Linked DNA regions of Macaca mulatta. The protein of the gene in region 1 purifies or fractionates together with the protein of each later gene. This does not show direct contact. Links are inferred from orthologs where the notes say so. Each region holds a gene or a part of one and is shown on either strand. Other genes may lie near its edges.

Region 1 (3,521 bases):
TGGGAGGTGGAGCTTGCAGTGAGCTGAGATCCGGCCACTGCACTCCAGCCTGGGCAACAGAGCGAGACTCCGTCTCAAAAAGAAAAATGTGCTTAACCACAACTATCAGGGAGAACAAATTCAGTTAACAATGGGAATCTAACCCTGTCAGAACGTCAAAAGTTTTTTTAAAAAGTGACAAGATTTGTAGATTTCTGCAGGGATGGAGAGGAGGGTAATCTACATTAATTTTTGGAAAAATGGTAGTTAATGATACCGCATATATAGCACCATATAGGTAATCTGTTCAGCTTCTCTTAGATTCCAGAATGTCTCAGCATTTAGTGATTTACTTAAAAGGTTGTCTGAAGTTCTAAACTGTTGAATTGCATTTTAAATTGGTTTTTACACAAACTCCTTTTGTTAACCACTTTCAACTTTTATTTCTCTTTTTGTTCCCCTTTAGGAAACTACTTTCTAGAGAAAAACAGCCCCCCATAGACAGCATAATCCGGGCTGGTTTGATTCCAAAATTTGTGTCCTTCTTGGGCAGAACTGATTGTAGTCCCATTCAGTTTGAGTCTGCTTGGGCACTCACTAACATTGCTTCTGGGACATCAGAACAGACCAAGGCTGTGGTAGATGGAGGTGCCATCCCAGCATTCATCTCTCTGTTGGCATCTCCCCATGCTCACATCAGTGAACAAGCCGTCTGGGCTCTAGGAAACATTGCAGGTACTTGGACTTGAAGTTCTTTTGACTGAATGTATCTAAGCGTAATGAGTTCAAAGAAAGGCCTTATAAATAGTAACGACTTCGTCAAGTTTTGAGCTTGCTTTCAAGCCGTTATTAGGAATGAAAGTGTCGTCTTTACAAAGGCAGCAGAGGGGCATCTAAGTACGTTTGGGAGTTTTTGCTGGTGCATCAGTCACTGAACATTGGTGGTGTTGGACAAGATAATAAAATTAATCTTGCTTTTTTTTTCAGGTGACGGCTCAGTGTTCCGAGACTTGGTTATTAAGTATGGTGCAGTTGACCCACTGTTGGCTCTCCTTGCGGTTCCTGATATGTCATCTTTAGCAGTAAGTTACTAACATGAATAAAGTTACTCACTTCTTCATTCTAATTTCCCCCATCTTCTCAAAAGACAGAACCTCTCATTGCCTATTTTTTTCCCCCTAGTGTGGCTACTTACGTAATCTTACCTGGACACTTTCAAATCTTTGCCGCAACAAGAATCCTGCACCCCCAATAGATGCTGTTGAGCAGATTCTTCCTACCTTAGTTCGGCTCCTGCATCATGATGATCCAGAAGTATTAGCAGATACCTGCTGGGCTATTTCCTACCTTACTGACGGTCCGAATGAACGAATTGACATGGTCGTGAAAACAGGAGTTGTGCCCCAACTTGTGAAGCTTCTAGGAGCTTCTGAATTGCCAATTGTGGTAAGTTATTTACTTGTAGATTAGGACATAAGTATAAAAAGCATGATCAGGGCTGGGTATGGTGGCTCACGCCTGTATAATCCCAGCACTTTGGGAGACCAAGGCGGGTGGATCCCCTGAGGTCAGGAGTTAGAGACCAGCCTGGCCAACATGATGAAAGCCCATCTCTACTAAAAATACAAAGAAATTATCTGGATGTGGTGGCACGCGTCTGTAATCCCAACTACTTGGGAGGCTAAGGCAGGAGAATTGCTTGAATCCGGGAGGCAGAGGCTGCAGTGAGTCGAGATCGTGCCATTGCACTCCAGTCTGGGTGACAAGAGCAAGACTCCTGTCTCTCAAAAAAAAAAAGCATTATCAGTTGATACTAATATTGAAATATTACCTATTTCATACCCATGATGGGCCTCTTGTTAAAACTTTTAGGGTACAGAATTTCTGAAGTGCTGGGAAAAAACCAGCATCAACATTTTTTTTTTTTTTCAGACTCCTGCCCTAAGAGCCATAGGGAATATTGTCACTGGTACAGATGAACAGACTCAGGTTGTAATTGATGCAGGAGCGCTCGCTGTCTTTCCCAGCCTGCTCACCAACCCCAAAACTAACATTCAGAAGGAAGCTACATGGACAATGTCAAACATCACAGCTGGCCGTCAGGACCAGATACAGCAAGTTGTGAATCATGGATTAGTCCCATTCCTTGTCAGTGTTCTCTCTAAGGTAATGAAGTCTTAGGATTTAATCAAGTCATTTTTAGTATTTATAGAAAGCTCTGCTTGATAAGCTTCTTCACGTGCAAGAATCTTGGGTTCTACTTGGAGTCCTTTGCTGAAAAATACCCAGTAACCCCTTTCACTTACAGTTGGATAGAACCTTGGTACTTTGAGTCATTGTTTTTGTGAAAAAGTACTCCTGGAAACTTATTCTTGCAACTTTCTGAAATAAAACCATTTCCTTATGTTTAATAGGCAGATTTTAAGACACAAAAGGAAGCTGTATGGGCCGTGACCAACTACACTAGTGGTGGAACAGTTGAGCAGATTGTGTACCTTGTTCACTGTGGCATAATAGAACCGTTGATGAACCTCTTAACTGCAAAAGATACCAAGATTATTCTGGTTATCTTGGATGCCATTTCAAATATCTTTCAGGTAAGACCTATCAAGGTGGCTTTGTTTGAATTTGAACTTGATAATAATCAGTTTACTATTTAGACCTGGGGGAGGGCAACTGTTGTAAGTTTAGTCACTAGTAAGCCACAGATTCAGACAGCCTGTTTAGGTGGGCCACACCTTTGATTAAAAATGTGGCAGGCATTATCAAAGATGAAAGAGATGACAAGTGGATGATGGGACCTGAATCGAAGTCGGGCGTTTATGTGAACTCATCACATCTGTTTACTTACTTGATTTAATGTCCCAATTTCATACTGAATTTTGGTGAAATTAAATTTGAATGACTTGGCCAGTCATGGTGTCTCATGCCTGTATCACAGCACTTTGAGAGTCCAAGGTAGGTGGATCACCTGAGGTCAAGAGTCCGAGACCAGCCTGGCCAACATGGTGAAACCCCGTCTCTGCTAAAAATACAAAAATTAGCCATGTGTGGTGGCAGGCACCTATAATCCCAGCTACTTGGGAGGCTGAGGCAGGAGAATCGCTTGAACCCTGGGCCAGGGGTGGAGGTTGCAGTGAGCCAAGATCATGTCACTTCACTCCAGCCTGGCCGGAAGAGTGAAACTATCTCAGAAAAAAAAAATTTGAATAACTTATATTTTTCTTCTGGTTGTATCCCTAATTGATCCAAGCATACCAGCATATGGCACTTTGTCATAGTGATTGGTGGTAGGTAAGTCCTACTCATCAACTTTAGATTCTAGAGATTTTTACATATAGAAGTTGAGTCTACAGGCTGGGCACAGTGGCTCACACCTGTAATCCCAGCATTTTGGGAGGCTGAGGTGGGCAGAGCACGAGGTCAGGAGTTTGAGACCAGCCTGGCCAACATAGTGAAACCCCGTCTCTACTAAAAATACAAAAAATTAGCCGGGTGTGGTGGCAGGCGCCTGTAATTCCAGCTACTTAGGAGGCTGAGGC
Region 2 (3,521 bases), on another chromosome or scaffold:
CTCCTGGGTTCAAGCAATTCTCCTGCCTCAGCCTCCCAAGTAGCTGGGATTACAGACACGTGCCACCACGCCTGGATGATTTTGTATTTTTAGTAGAGACAGGGTTTCACCATGTTGGTCAGGCTGGTCTTGAACTCCTGACCTCAGCTGATCCACCTGCCTTGGGCTCCCAAAGTGTTGTTTTCTTATTGTTGAATGTTGGGAGTTCTTTGTATATTTGGGAGACAAGTGCTTTATCAAATATGTGATTTGCAAATATCTTTTAGTATGTAACTTGTCCTTTCATTCTCTTAGCAATGTCTTGCAAAGCCGAGGTTTTCAAAAAAATTTTGATAAACTCCAACTTATCAACATTTTCTTTCATAGACTACTATTGGAGTTGTAGTCCAACAATTCATTAATAAAGCCAAGGTCATGTAGATTTTCTGTGTTTTCTTCTAAAAGTTTTATAGTTTTGCACTTTACACTTAGATCTAAGATTATTTTAACCCTTAAAAGGACACAGAAGTTAAGCAACGGATGAACGAACAAACGGTGATATACATCTGTACAATGGAATTTTAATTGGCAATAAGAAGGAATGAAGTACAATATGGATAAACCTTGAAAACATCACGCTAAGTCAAAGTAGTCATACATAAAAGACTACATATTCTATTATTCCATTCATAGGAACTGTCCAGAATAGGCAAATCTATAATAAAGACAGAAAATAAACTATTCGTTGTTAGAGACTGTGGAAAGAGAGGCTGGGAAATAAATACTAGTGGTCACATTTGGGGGTGACGAAAATGTTCTAAAATTAGGACAGCGGTGATAGTTGCACAACTCTAAGATTATAGTAAAAACCAGTGACTGTAAATCCAAAGATTTTACACTTTAAAAGGATGAATGAATTCTGTGGTATGAATGATGAATTATATTTCAGCAAAGCTGTTATTAAACATAAAGATGTAGAAGGAAGACTGGCAAAATGAGGCTAGGTGATGGATACACAGGGATTTATTATATGATTTTTTCTACCTTTATATATATTTGAAATTATCCATTAAACAATGTGGAAGGGAAATGTTATTCTAAATGAGAAGTGGTACAGCATAAATATTTGATAAATAAAATCACTAATAAGCATCAAATTCTTATAACTGATGTTACAGTTCTTATAATTCTTGTTTTATTCAAAAATAAAAACTTGAAGCAACATATGTAAGTGGATATTTGAGGAAAGGTCTACTCACTGCCACAGACTTAACAGCTTGGAAATTATAAAATTTGAATTATAGCTTTAATTCTTATGAAATGTGTATTGAAGCAAACTTTATTCTAGGGGAATCTCAGCTCCTCTGATGTCTAAATCAGTGAGATTAGGGGCAGATGTCCCTGAGGGAGCAAGCTCTGGAGCGAGAGTGGGACAGGATGAGGAGCAGGAAAAACACACGTGTACTAGAAGAGAAGCTCCACCAAGGCAGGAATCTTTCTACGACTTGTTCATTAATGTATCCCAAGCACTCAGAACAGTGTCTGGCACACAGAAAATACTCTTTGTTGAATGAGAAAGTTAGTATGTTGGGATAAAGTAAATTATCCTATATACCATAAAATCTAGGAAAAATGTTCACAGTTCCAAAGATTCTTCACTGAAGACAGTAAAGTAGTTTTAGATCTTTGGGTGGGTGAGACACCAAGAACCAACTGTGTAGGGACAAGTCTAAGCAGTATCTCCAAACCAATCCAACATGAGCTAAATTTTTAAGTCTTTTTGGACCAGCTGTTCTAAATCATGACATAACTTCAAGAATTCAAACTTGAAGCAACATATGTAAGTGGATATTTGAGGAAAGGACTACTCACTGCCACAGACTTAACAGCTTTGATAAGCTTTTTACTTTCCAAATTCTTCAGGATTTTGTTGATTTCTGTTAATGGCAAATTACTTTTATAGCGGATATCTCTGCTCCATATTCCTATGAGAAAGTAAAGTAAAATAAGTTGAGCTATGTTTTCATGGATTTTTAATTTTATTCCTCTAACTCGTATCTCATTCCAAAGCTAGCAGTATAAAGCTAACGGTAAAAATGAAATGACTTAGAGGTAAGAACCTTGGCTAAAGTAGCAAAAGTATGCCAAACAATAAATAAGTCTAATGCTTTATAAGATTTATTATTATTATAATGATTTATAATTTCTAACCAGAAATTTCTTGGAATCCCAGTGTGGCACACTTTTAAAAATTTTATGGAAAGGGCCGGGCACAGTGGCTCATGCCTGTAATCCCAGCAATTAGGGAGGCGGAGGCAGGTGGATCACTTGAGCTCAGGAGTTTGAGACCAGCCTGGCCAACATGGTGAAACTCTGTCCCTATTAAAAATGCAAAAATAATTAGTGGGGCCTGGTGGCGTGCACCTGTACTCCTAGCTACTTGGGAGGCTGAGGCACGAGAATTGTTTGAACCCGGGAGGCGGAGGTTGCAGTGAGCCAAGGTCACGCCATTGCACTCCAGTCTGGGCAACAGAGCGAGACTCCGTCTCAAAAAACAAACAAACAAAAATTATGAAAAGGACATTTTTATAATGGAAGGAAGAATCATGGATGCAACAGAATTAACTTATATCATCCGTACCCTTAATTCTGTTTTCTGATATTTTCATTTTAGATTGTAAATGTGAAATACAAACTTAAATTTGGGTCAAGGTCAACTGCCATCCTCAAGTGGGACAAAAACACTCTTTAGATGAGTGTCTGCATGCACGTAATCCATTATTTATACAACATTGTATTTGTGAGATGGAAAAAGGAAGCCTAGGGTTCTTATAGCTGCTAAAAGCCCTGTGTGAGAAGCAATGATTTCTTTTTCAAAGAAGGAAATAAGTGTTATATATGGAAAGGGAATGTATGTAAACATTTTGCTTTATTTTCTTCCCAATGTAGTGGCATAATGAGACAGGAAGATTAAAAAAATATGCAGAATGGCCTTCTCATAGGACTATTTTAAAAAATGTTAATTTTAATAAATATAAGAATTAGTTATATAATTTCAGATTACATCTCAATTTTTCAAGCTACTATCAATGACTCAAATAGATCCTAAATTATTGTAATTGAGGATTGCAATCTAGATACAGTTCTTCAAGGGGGGTAGAAGAGGAACTATAGTGCAGAGGGACATCCATTAAGACACTGCTACACGACACCGGCTTTCCTTTTGGTCCTTGCAAAAACGAGAGGTGTCAGCATCCACAATTTATAGGTAAGATGAAGAAACTGAAGCTTACAAAGTTTAAGTAACTTGTCCATGGTCATATAGCTAGAAGGTACAGATTTTTTTAAAAAAAACTTAAATGTGATTTATTTTGAATAGATAATACATTCATGTGACTCAGAATTCAGAAGTCTTTTTCCATCCCTGGCCATAGCCCTCTAGTTCTTGTCTCTTTCAAGGCAACAATGGCCTTACTCTTGGGTGTCCTTCAGGCACATGCATGTTATATTTGTATGTTCTATTCCCTTCCTCAGCATACTCT
Region 3 (3,521 bases), on another chromosome or scaffold:
ATCAGAAAGAGGAACGACTGTGGCTGGGCTGGGTGGCTCACGCCTGTAATCCCAACACTTTTGGTGGCTACAGTGAGCTATGATTGAGCCATTGAATTCCAGTCTAGGCAACAGAGCGTCTCTGTCTCAAAAAAATAAAAATAAAAATAAAGATAACCCTCAGATAAACATTCATTGGTCACCTTTGGAAGCTGCTAGGGTATCAACTCAATACTGAAAATCAATAAATAATTCAGCATTTATCTTGTTTTTCCTGTATGAACTGAATTTCAGAGAAACCAAGTAGATGGCAAGGCAAATGTCTTCATAAAAAAATTATGACTAACCAATGCAGAACAACTAAGATTAGAAAAATCGCCATTTAAAAACCCCTTAATGAAATAATGGATCCAGGTATGGTCACTGATGGGTAAAATCACTAGGTGAAAAAGTCAGTAAGGAGCTTTTAAATGGATAGATCACGCTAACACCACCCAAATATGATAAATAAGTGAAAGTACGGGGGAAAGAGGAAGCAATCAGCCAAAATCCAGAATAGTATATTCGATAGGACAAATGACCTTCAACAAACAAATGACATAATAGTGGCAGTGTGGGGTAGGGTTGTGGAACTTGAGACATTTCAATCAAGTGGGTGGCCCTTGCCTGGATCCTGATTTGAACAAACCTATTAGGTATAAAAGACACTTCTGAGACAGTTGGGTGAAATTTAACATAAACTGGGTATTAGAGGATATTAAAGTTCATGTTGTTGGATGTTACATTGGTATAACATTAATAAAAATTAGAAAAAACATCACCACCCTCTAAAATTGAACTTAGAATACCAGATCAGGGTGCAGGTGCTGGCTACAGCAACAATCAGTGCTGATTGGGAGGAGGCCCAAGCGCACAGCAGGACAGACCTGATCAGACCTCAAATAAAGCCAGAGCCCATTAAAGGGCTATACGCTCAGGAGGAGGGTAAACCAGAGAAAAAAATTACCGTAGAGGCAGACAGTAAGGAAATTTTCTGACTTGCTTAACACTAGTGGGAGGAGATTCTAGTGGAAGAAATTCTCATACGTGAGAATTCATATGGCCACTGGCTGATCCTCATGGAGTTTGGAGTCTGAATTCACACTATTTGGAACAGTCTGAAAAACCTGTAAGCCTTTGATCCAGTAATCCCATTTCAAGGACTATTTCCCTGGTTAGATGTAACTGAAAAAATACAAAATGATGTATGTACAAAGTTAGTCAACGTGGCCTTGTTTGTAACTAAAAAAGGGTGGAAACAATCCAAGTGTCCAGTAGAGGGAACTGGTGGATAAATTTTGGTGCAACTACATAGTGGAGTCCTAGGCAGACCTAAAAATAATGGAATGATCTCTGTATGCTGATGGGGAGGAATCTTAGGGATATTTTGTGTGTTGTTTTGTTTTTTGAGACAAGGTCTTGCTCTGTCACCCAGGCTGAAGTGCAGTGGTAGGATCATGGCTCACTGAAGCCTCTACCTCCCAGGCTCAGGTGATCCTCCCACCTCAGCCTCCTGAGTAGCTGAACTATAGGTGTGAGCCACGACACCCAGCTAATTTTCCTGTTTTTTGTAGAGACAGGTCTCACTATGTTGCCCAGGCTGATTTTAAACTCGTGGGCTCAAGCAATCCTCCTGTCTTGGCTTCCCAAAGTGTTCGGATTACAGACGTGAGCTACTGCACCCAACCAGTTTAGACCTTTTAGTCAGTCACCTTTTCTTTTTTTTTTTTTCCAATCAGCTTTCTCAGGTTAAATTAATCACCTGTTTTTTAAAAAACTTAACTCAAAAGCTAATAATTGGCCGGGCGCGGTGGCTCAAGCCTGTAATCCCAGCACTTTGGGAGGCCGAGACGGGCGGATCACGAGGTCAGGAGATCGAGACCATCCTGGCTAACACAATGAAACCCCGTCTCCACTAAAAATACAAAAAAATTAGCTGGGCGTGGTGGCGGTGCCTGTAGTCCCAGCTACTCGGGAGGCTGAGGCAGGAGAATGGCGGGAACCCGGGAAGCGGAGCTTGCAGTGAGCCGAGATCGCGCCACTGCACTCCAGCCTGGGCGACAGAGCGAGACTCCGCCTCAAAAAAAAAAATAAATAAATAAAAAGCTAATAATTAAAAATGGAACCATGGTGAGTACTGCCTCAGATGCCTGCAAATGTAAAACCTTTCTGGACAAATGTGCTCCCTGCCCTAGAAGACAGAAGGGATAGGAATGGAGAAACCTACAAGCACCCATGGGTCCTGACAAGGCCTGGGATTGATTGGTGGTAATCGCACCTTGGAGGCAAAGCGTAAAGAGTTGAGGGACTCGGAGACGTTCTCTTCCAGTGGAGAAATGTTCACAAACATGAGCCTATGAAAACAGAATATGCCCAGTCCCAGCATTAGGGGCCAGCAGAGCCTGGACAGGTCTCCACTGTTCCCCTCTTTCTACCCCTCACCCCAACACAGTTCCTACCTGAACCCTTCCATCTGTCCCTTTCACTCACATCTTAGCACTACCACCCAGAGAGTTCTGCAGCAGGTAGGTCAGTTTGCTGTTCCGGTAAGGCACATGGGACTCCTACATGATTGAGGTGGGGACAGATGTTTAGGAATGGGCAGAGTTCTGCACAGCCAACCCCAACTGGCCCCCAGGTCCCATATCTCCCCCCACTCCTATTCCCACCTTGTTACTCAGGGCCATGATAACTAGCCCCAGCGTGGACAGGCTGCTGTTAATGGCCTGTGTTTCCCGAAGGCGTTCCCGCTCCCCGGGGCCGAGGGCTAAGCCAGGGTCAAGTCGCTCACTCCCGGCCAGGTCCACAAGACTGAGGGAGGCCCCACACTGCAGGCCTCGGCTGGAGTGCTCCCCAGAAATCTGTAGCTGGAATACACTGTGGCTGCGTGATGACCGTTCATTCTGGGCTGTGCGGGCCACAGCCCGATTCTGGCGGGCCAGATGAAGCAGGGCCTCCACCTGGGGATGGGAGCAGAAGGGGCAAAAGGGCAGGCAGAAGTCAGTACATAGTAATATGTATGGAAATAAGTAAGATCCCACCCCCACTCTCTCGAAGCTTTCTAGCCTGTCAACAAACAAAATTAGATGTACAGTATGTCTGAAAATGGTAAGGAATACATAGAATAGGGAGTGTATAAAGGCGGGGTGGGGAACCAAGTTTTGACAGGATAGCCAAAGATGGCCTCATTGCCGTAAGATCTCCAGGAAAGGAGCATCCAGGCAAAGGCCCTGAGATGGGGAGCATGACTAGTTGGTTGAGGAATAGCCAGGAGACCAGCATGGCTAGGATGAGCTGAGCAAGGAGATGAGACCTGAGATGCAGTGACCCTCCCCATTTCGGCAGCTGCATCACTCCCTCGCCACTCCTGGGTTAAGGCAGATCTACCTACAGCCCACAGGCCAAAACGGGATGTGGTAACCCAGCCTCACAACTTGTACTTCATCCTTCAATTCTCTCCTGCTCCTTTCTCTCTCTACCTCCATCTTGTGGCACCCTGCCCA
Region 4 (3,521 bases), on another chromosome or scaffold:
ATACAAAAAATTAGCTGGGTATGGTGCCACATGCCTGTAATCCCAGCTACTGGGGAAGCTGAAGCAGGAAAGTCGCTTGAACCCAGGAGGCAGAGATCGCGGTGAGCCGAGATCGTGCCATTGTACTCCAGCCTGGGCAACAAGAGTGAAACTCTGTCTCAAAAACAAACAAACAAACAAACAAACAAACAAAAAAAAATTAGCTGGGTGTGGTGGTGCATGGCTGCAATCCCAGTTACTCAGAAGGCTGAGGCAGGAGAATCGCTTAAACCCAGGAGGTGGAGGTTGCAGTGAGCTGAGATCATGCCACTGCACTCCAGCCTGGGTAACAGAACGAGACTCTGTCTCAAAAAATAAATAAATAAATAAATAAATTCTGTACTAGTCATATTAGGATTTTCTGTGATTTTCTATGATATTTCTTAAGAGTTTCAATTGACTATAAGGGAGTAGCAGAAGTACTTGAGGTAAAAATAGGTAACAGTGAAGGAAAAGCCCTTCTTACAGGCTGCTCTCTAATGTTAAATTGAAGACAGAGATGGCATTATCCTTCTAGCCACCAGCCTTTCCCATGTCAACCATTCTGTTTATTGCACTCTTGTTCTCATCGAGGCTAACAGGGAAAACTGAAACATTCTTCCATGGTAACACTTCCATCAATATAAAAATAAGCCTCATAAATCTACATATATTTTGCATTTCAAACTTGTTAAATGCAAAATACTGATAGTTTACTTTAAAATTAATTTTGTTAAAAGATATTCCATGTGGTTATACAGACACATAAATATATGTGTATGCACATAGCCTTCCATATCCATGGATTCAACCATCTGTGGATTGAAAATATTTGAAAACAACAAAAAACTAAAAAAGAAAAAGAGAAAATAATACAAATTTTAAAACAATACAGTGTAACAACTATTTACATAGCATTTATATTGTGTTAGGTATTATAAGTAATCAAGAGATTAAAGTATATCAGAGGAAGTGTGTAGGTTACATGGAAATACTACATGATTTTATTTTTATTTATTTATTTATTTATTTATTTATTTATTATTTTTAAGACAGGGTCTCACACTCTATTGCCCAGGCTGGAGTGCAGTGGCATCATCATGGCTCACTGCAGCCTCAGCCTCTGGGCTCAAGTGATCCTCCTGCCTCAGCTTCCCCATAGCTGAGACTACAGGATTGCACCACCAGGCCCAGCTAATTTTTTTTATTTTTTGTAGAGATAAGGTCCCAGTGGGGTCCCCAGGCTGGTCTTGAACTCCTGGGTACAAGTGATCCTCTTGCCTCAGCGTCCCAAAGTGCTGGGATTACAGGTAAGAGCCGCCACACCTGCCCCTACACCATTTTATATATAAAGGACTTCAGCATCCACGGATTCTGGTATCTGGGGGGGTCCTGGAACCAATCCCTCACAGATACCGAGGGATGACTATATGTGTATAAAGATTTCTGTAGAAGATCAAATGGGGGAATGATTAGATAAGGCAAGTGCTAATCCATTTTAAATGACTCTACCAAACAATGATTTATGTATGCTTTAAAAATACAACTACTGACCAGGCGCTATGGCTCACGTCTGTAATCCCAACACTTTGGAAGGCTGAGGCGGATCACGAGGTCAGTAGTTCGAGACCAGCCTGACCAACATAGTGAAACCCCGTCTCTACTAAAAATACAAAAATTAGCTGGGCGTGGTGGCACACACCTGTAATCCCAGCTACTTGGGAGGCTGAGGCAGGAGAATCACTTGAACCTGGGAGGTGGAGGTTACAGTGAGCTGAGATCAGTCCATTGCACTCCGCCTGGGCAACAGAGCGAGACTCCGTCTCAAAGAAAAAAAAAATTACTATTGACCGGGCACAGTAATCCCAGTACTTTGGGAGGCTGAGGCAGGTGGATCACCTGAGGTTGGGAGTTTGAGAAGAGTCTGGCCAACATGGCAAACCTTCTTCCTATTAAAAATACAAAAATTAGCTGGGCATGGTAGCATGCACCAGTGGTCCCAGCTACTCGGGAGACTGAGGCAAGAGAATCACTTGAACCGGGGATGCAGAAGTTGCCATGAGCTGAGATTGTGCCACTGCACTCCAGCCTGGGTGACAGGGCAAGACTCTGTCTCAAAAAAATAAAAAATTAAAAAAAAATACAACTATTGCAGAAAGTAAGGTAAGCATAGCCAAGAGAAACTTTTGTAGTTGTAATCTGGTGGAAAGAAGAAACTATGGGTACTTAATCCACCAAATGGCCTATTATCCATCATAAAAGTATAAGTAAATTTGAAAATACAGAATAACTTAATGGCCAAATTTATTATTACAAATTATAAAACATAGTTTCCTCTGCTTTTTCCATTACTGGCATATTATTAGTGATTCTCAACCTTTTATATATTGGGAAATCTCATGACTATTTTCCTTAGTAGACCTGTCCAAACACTTCTAAAATATATAGAATTAGAAAACTTAAGGCCGGGTGCAGTGGCTCAAGCCTGTAATCCCAACATTTTGGGAGGCCGAGGTGGGTGGATCACGAGGTCAGGAGTTCAAGACCAGCCTGGCCAAGATGGTGAAACCCCATCTCTACTAAAAATACAAAAATTAGCCAGGCGCAGTAGCAGGTGCCTGTAATCCCAGCTACTCAGGAGGCTGACGCAGGAGAATGCTTGAACCCAAGATTGCACCCGAGATTGCACTACTGCACTCCAGCCTGGGCGACAGCAGAGTGAGACTCTGTCTCAAAACCAAAACCAAAACCAAAACCAAAAACAAAAAACAAAAAAACTGGTTTCCTTATTGGTGAACGCAAGATAATTTTTCACAGAAACATACATAGGAAAAAAGATAAATAACATTAGTCACAATCATCATTGAAAGCCTTTAATGTCACATCTAGTGTGGGAACAGAGTGGTAATGCTGCAGTTTCTCTCACCTTTTTCCCATTTCTAGAGTTAGCTGTCTGTACTGGTTCCATTCCCAAACAGTTCAATTCTGCCTTATTATTTTTTTTACATCTTTGCCACTTCTGTTTTCTGCGATCTTCCATATACTGCAATAGAAAAAAGTCAGTTATCCTACAGGAATAGAAATTTTCTGTGGAGTAATTATTAAAGTACTAGTGTCTTTTGTTTGATAATAAATGCTTATTATATAGATAAAGGATTAATCCTAGTGGAAAACTGTCATTAAGTGGGATCTCTCCAAAAAATATTAGGTGGTTTATATAATAGTTCAATAGTAAATATTTGCCTAGCACTTAAGGTACTTCAACATTATTTTATTTTGGGCATCACAACTGTGAGGTTGGAAGACTGGGTATTACTAATTATTACCCTTATCTTGCAGATACAGAAATGATGATATAGTATGTCATACTTTCTCTTTCTCATGCAGCTTAAATACCGAAGGAATGACTTTAAATCTTGCTGGATGGGACTGCCACTCACCGCTAGAAATCGGGGATCAACAGCAAACTCTGGATGACCCTGTAACCACATCTCCAGTTCAGC

The links. Proteins that work in one complex are often made in the same cells at the same time.
Region 2: the proteins of KPNA2 (region 1) and POLR3F purify together in Homo sapiens (co-immunoprecipitation; 3 studies listed by BioGRID and IntAct, with this or other methods). This does not show direct contact. The link is inferred for Macaca mulatta from reciprocal best matches to the Homo sapiens genes KPNA2 and POLR3F.
Region 3: the proteins of KPNA2 (region 1) and KIFC1 purify together in Homo sapiens (co-immunoprecipitation; 4 studies listed by BioGRID and IntAct, with this or other methods). This does not show direct contact. The link is inferred for Macaca mulatta from reciprocal best matches to the Homo sapiens genes KPNA2 and KIFC1.
Region 4: the proteins of KPNA2 (region 1) and CHD8 purify together in Homo sapiens (affinity purification with mass spectrometry; 4 studies listed by BioGRID and IntAct, with this or other methods). This does not show direct contact. The link is inferred for Macaca mulatta from reciprocal best matches to the Homo sapiens genes KPNA2 and CHD8.

The regions. Positions count from the first base shown.
Region 1 is NC_133421.1:77,794,121-77,797,641, forward strand, and holds part of KPNA2 (importin subunit alpha-1), read left to right. Parts: intron 1-445; coding exon 446-714; intron 715-966; coding exon 967-1,061; intron 1,062-1,161; coding exon 1,162-1,425; intron 1,426-1,911; coding exon 1,912-2,145; intron 2,146-2,393; coding exon 2,394-2,576; intron 2,577-3,521.
Region 2 is NC_133415.1:65,525,023-65,528,543, forward strand, and holds part of POLR3F (DNA-directed RNA polymerase III subunit RPC6), read right to left. Parts: intron 1,965-3,521; coding exon 1,852-1,964; intron 1-1,851. UniProt on the Homo sapiens protein: DNA-dependent RNA polymerase catalyzes the transcription of DNA into RNA using the four ribonucleoside triphosphates as substrates.
Region 3 is NC_133409.1:148,872,554-148,876,074, forward strand, and holds part of KIFC1 (kinesin-like protein KIFC1), read right to left. Parts: intron 2,979-3,521; coding exon 2,688-2,978; intron 2,583-2,687; coding exon 2,509-2,582; exon of another isoform or gene 2,478-2,508; intron 2,373-2,477; coding exon 2,297-2,372; intron 1-2,296. UniProt on the Homo sapiens protein: Minus end-directed microtubule-dependent motor required for bipolar spindle formation. May contribute to movement of early endocytic vesicles. Regulates cilium formation and structure.
Region 4 is NC_133412.1:94,251,763-94,255,283, forward strand, and holds part of CHD8 (chromodomain-helicase-DNA-binding protein 8), read right to left. Parts: coding exon 3,459-3,521; exon of another isoform or gene 3,406-3,458; intron 3,062-3,405; coding exon 2,945-3,061; intron 1-2,944. UniProt on the Homo sapiens protein: ATP-dependent chromatin-remodeling factor, it slides nucleosomes along DNA; nucleosome sliding requires ATP. Acts as a transcription repressor by remodeling chromatin structure and recruiting histone H1 to target genes.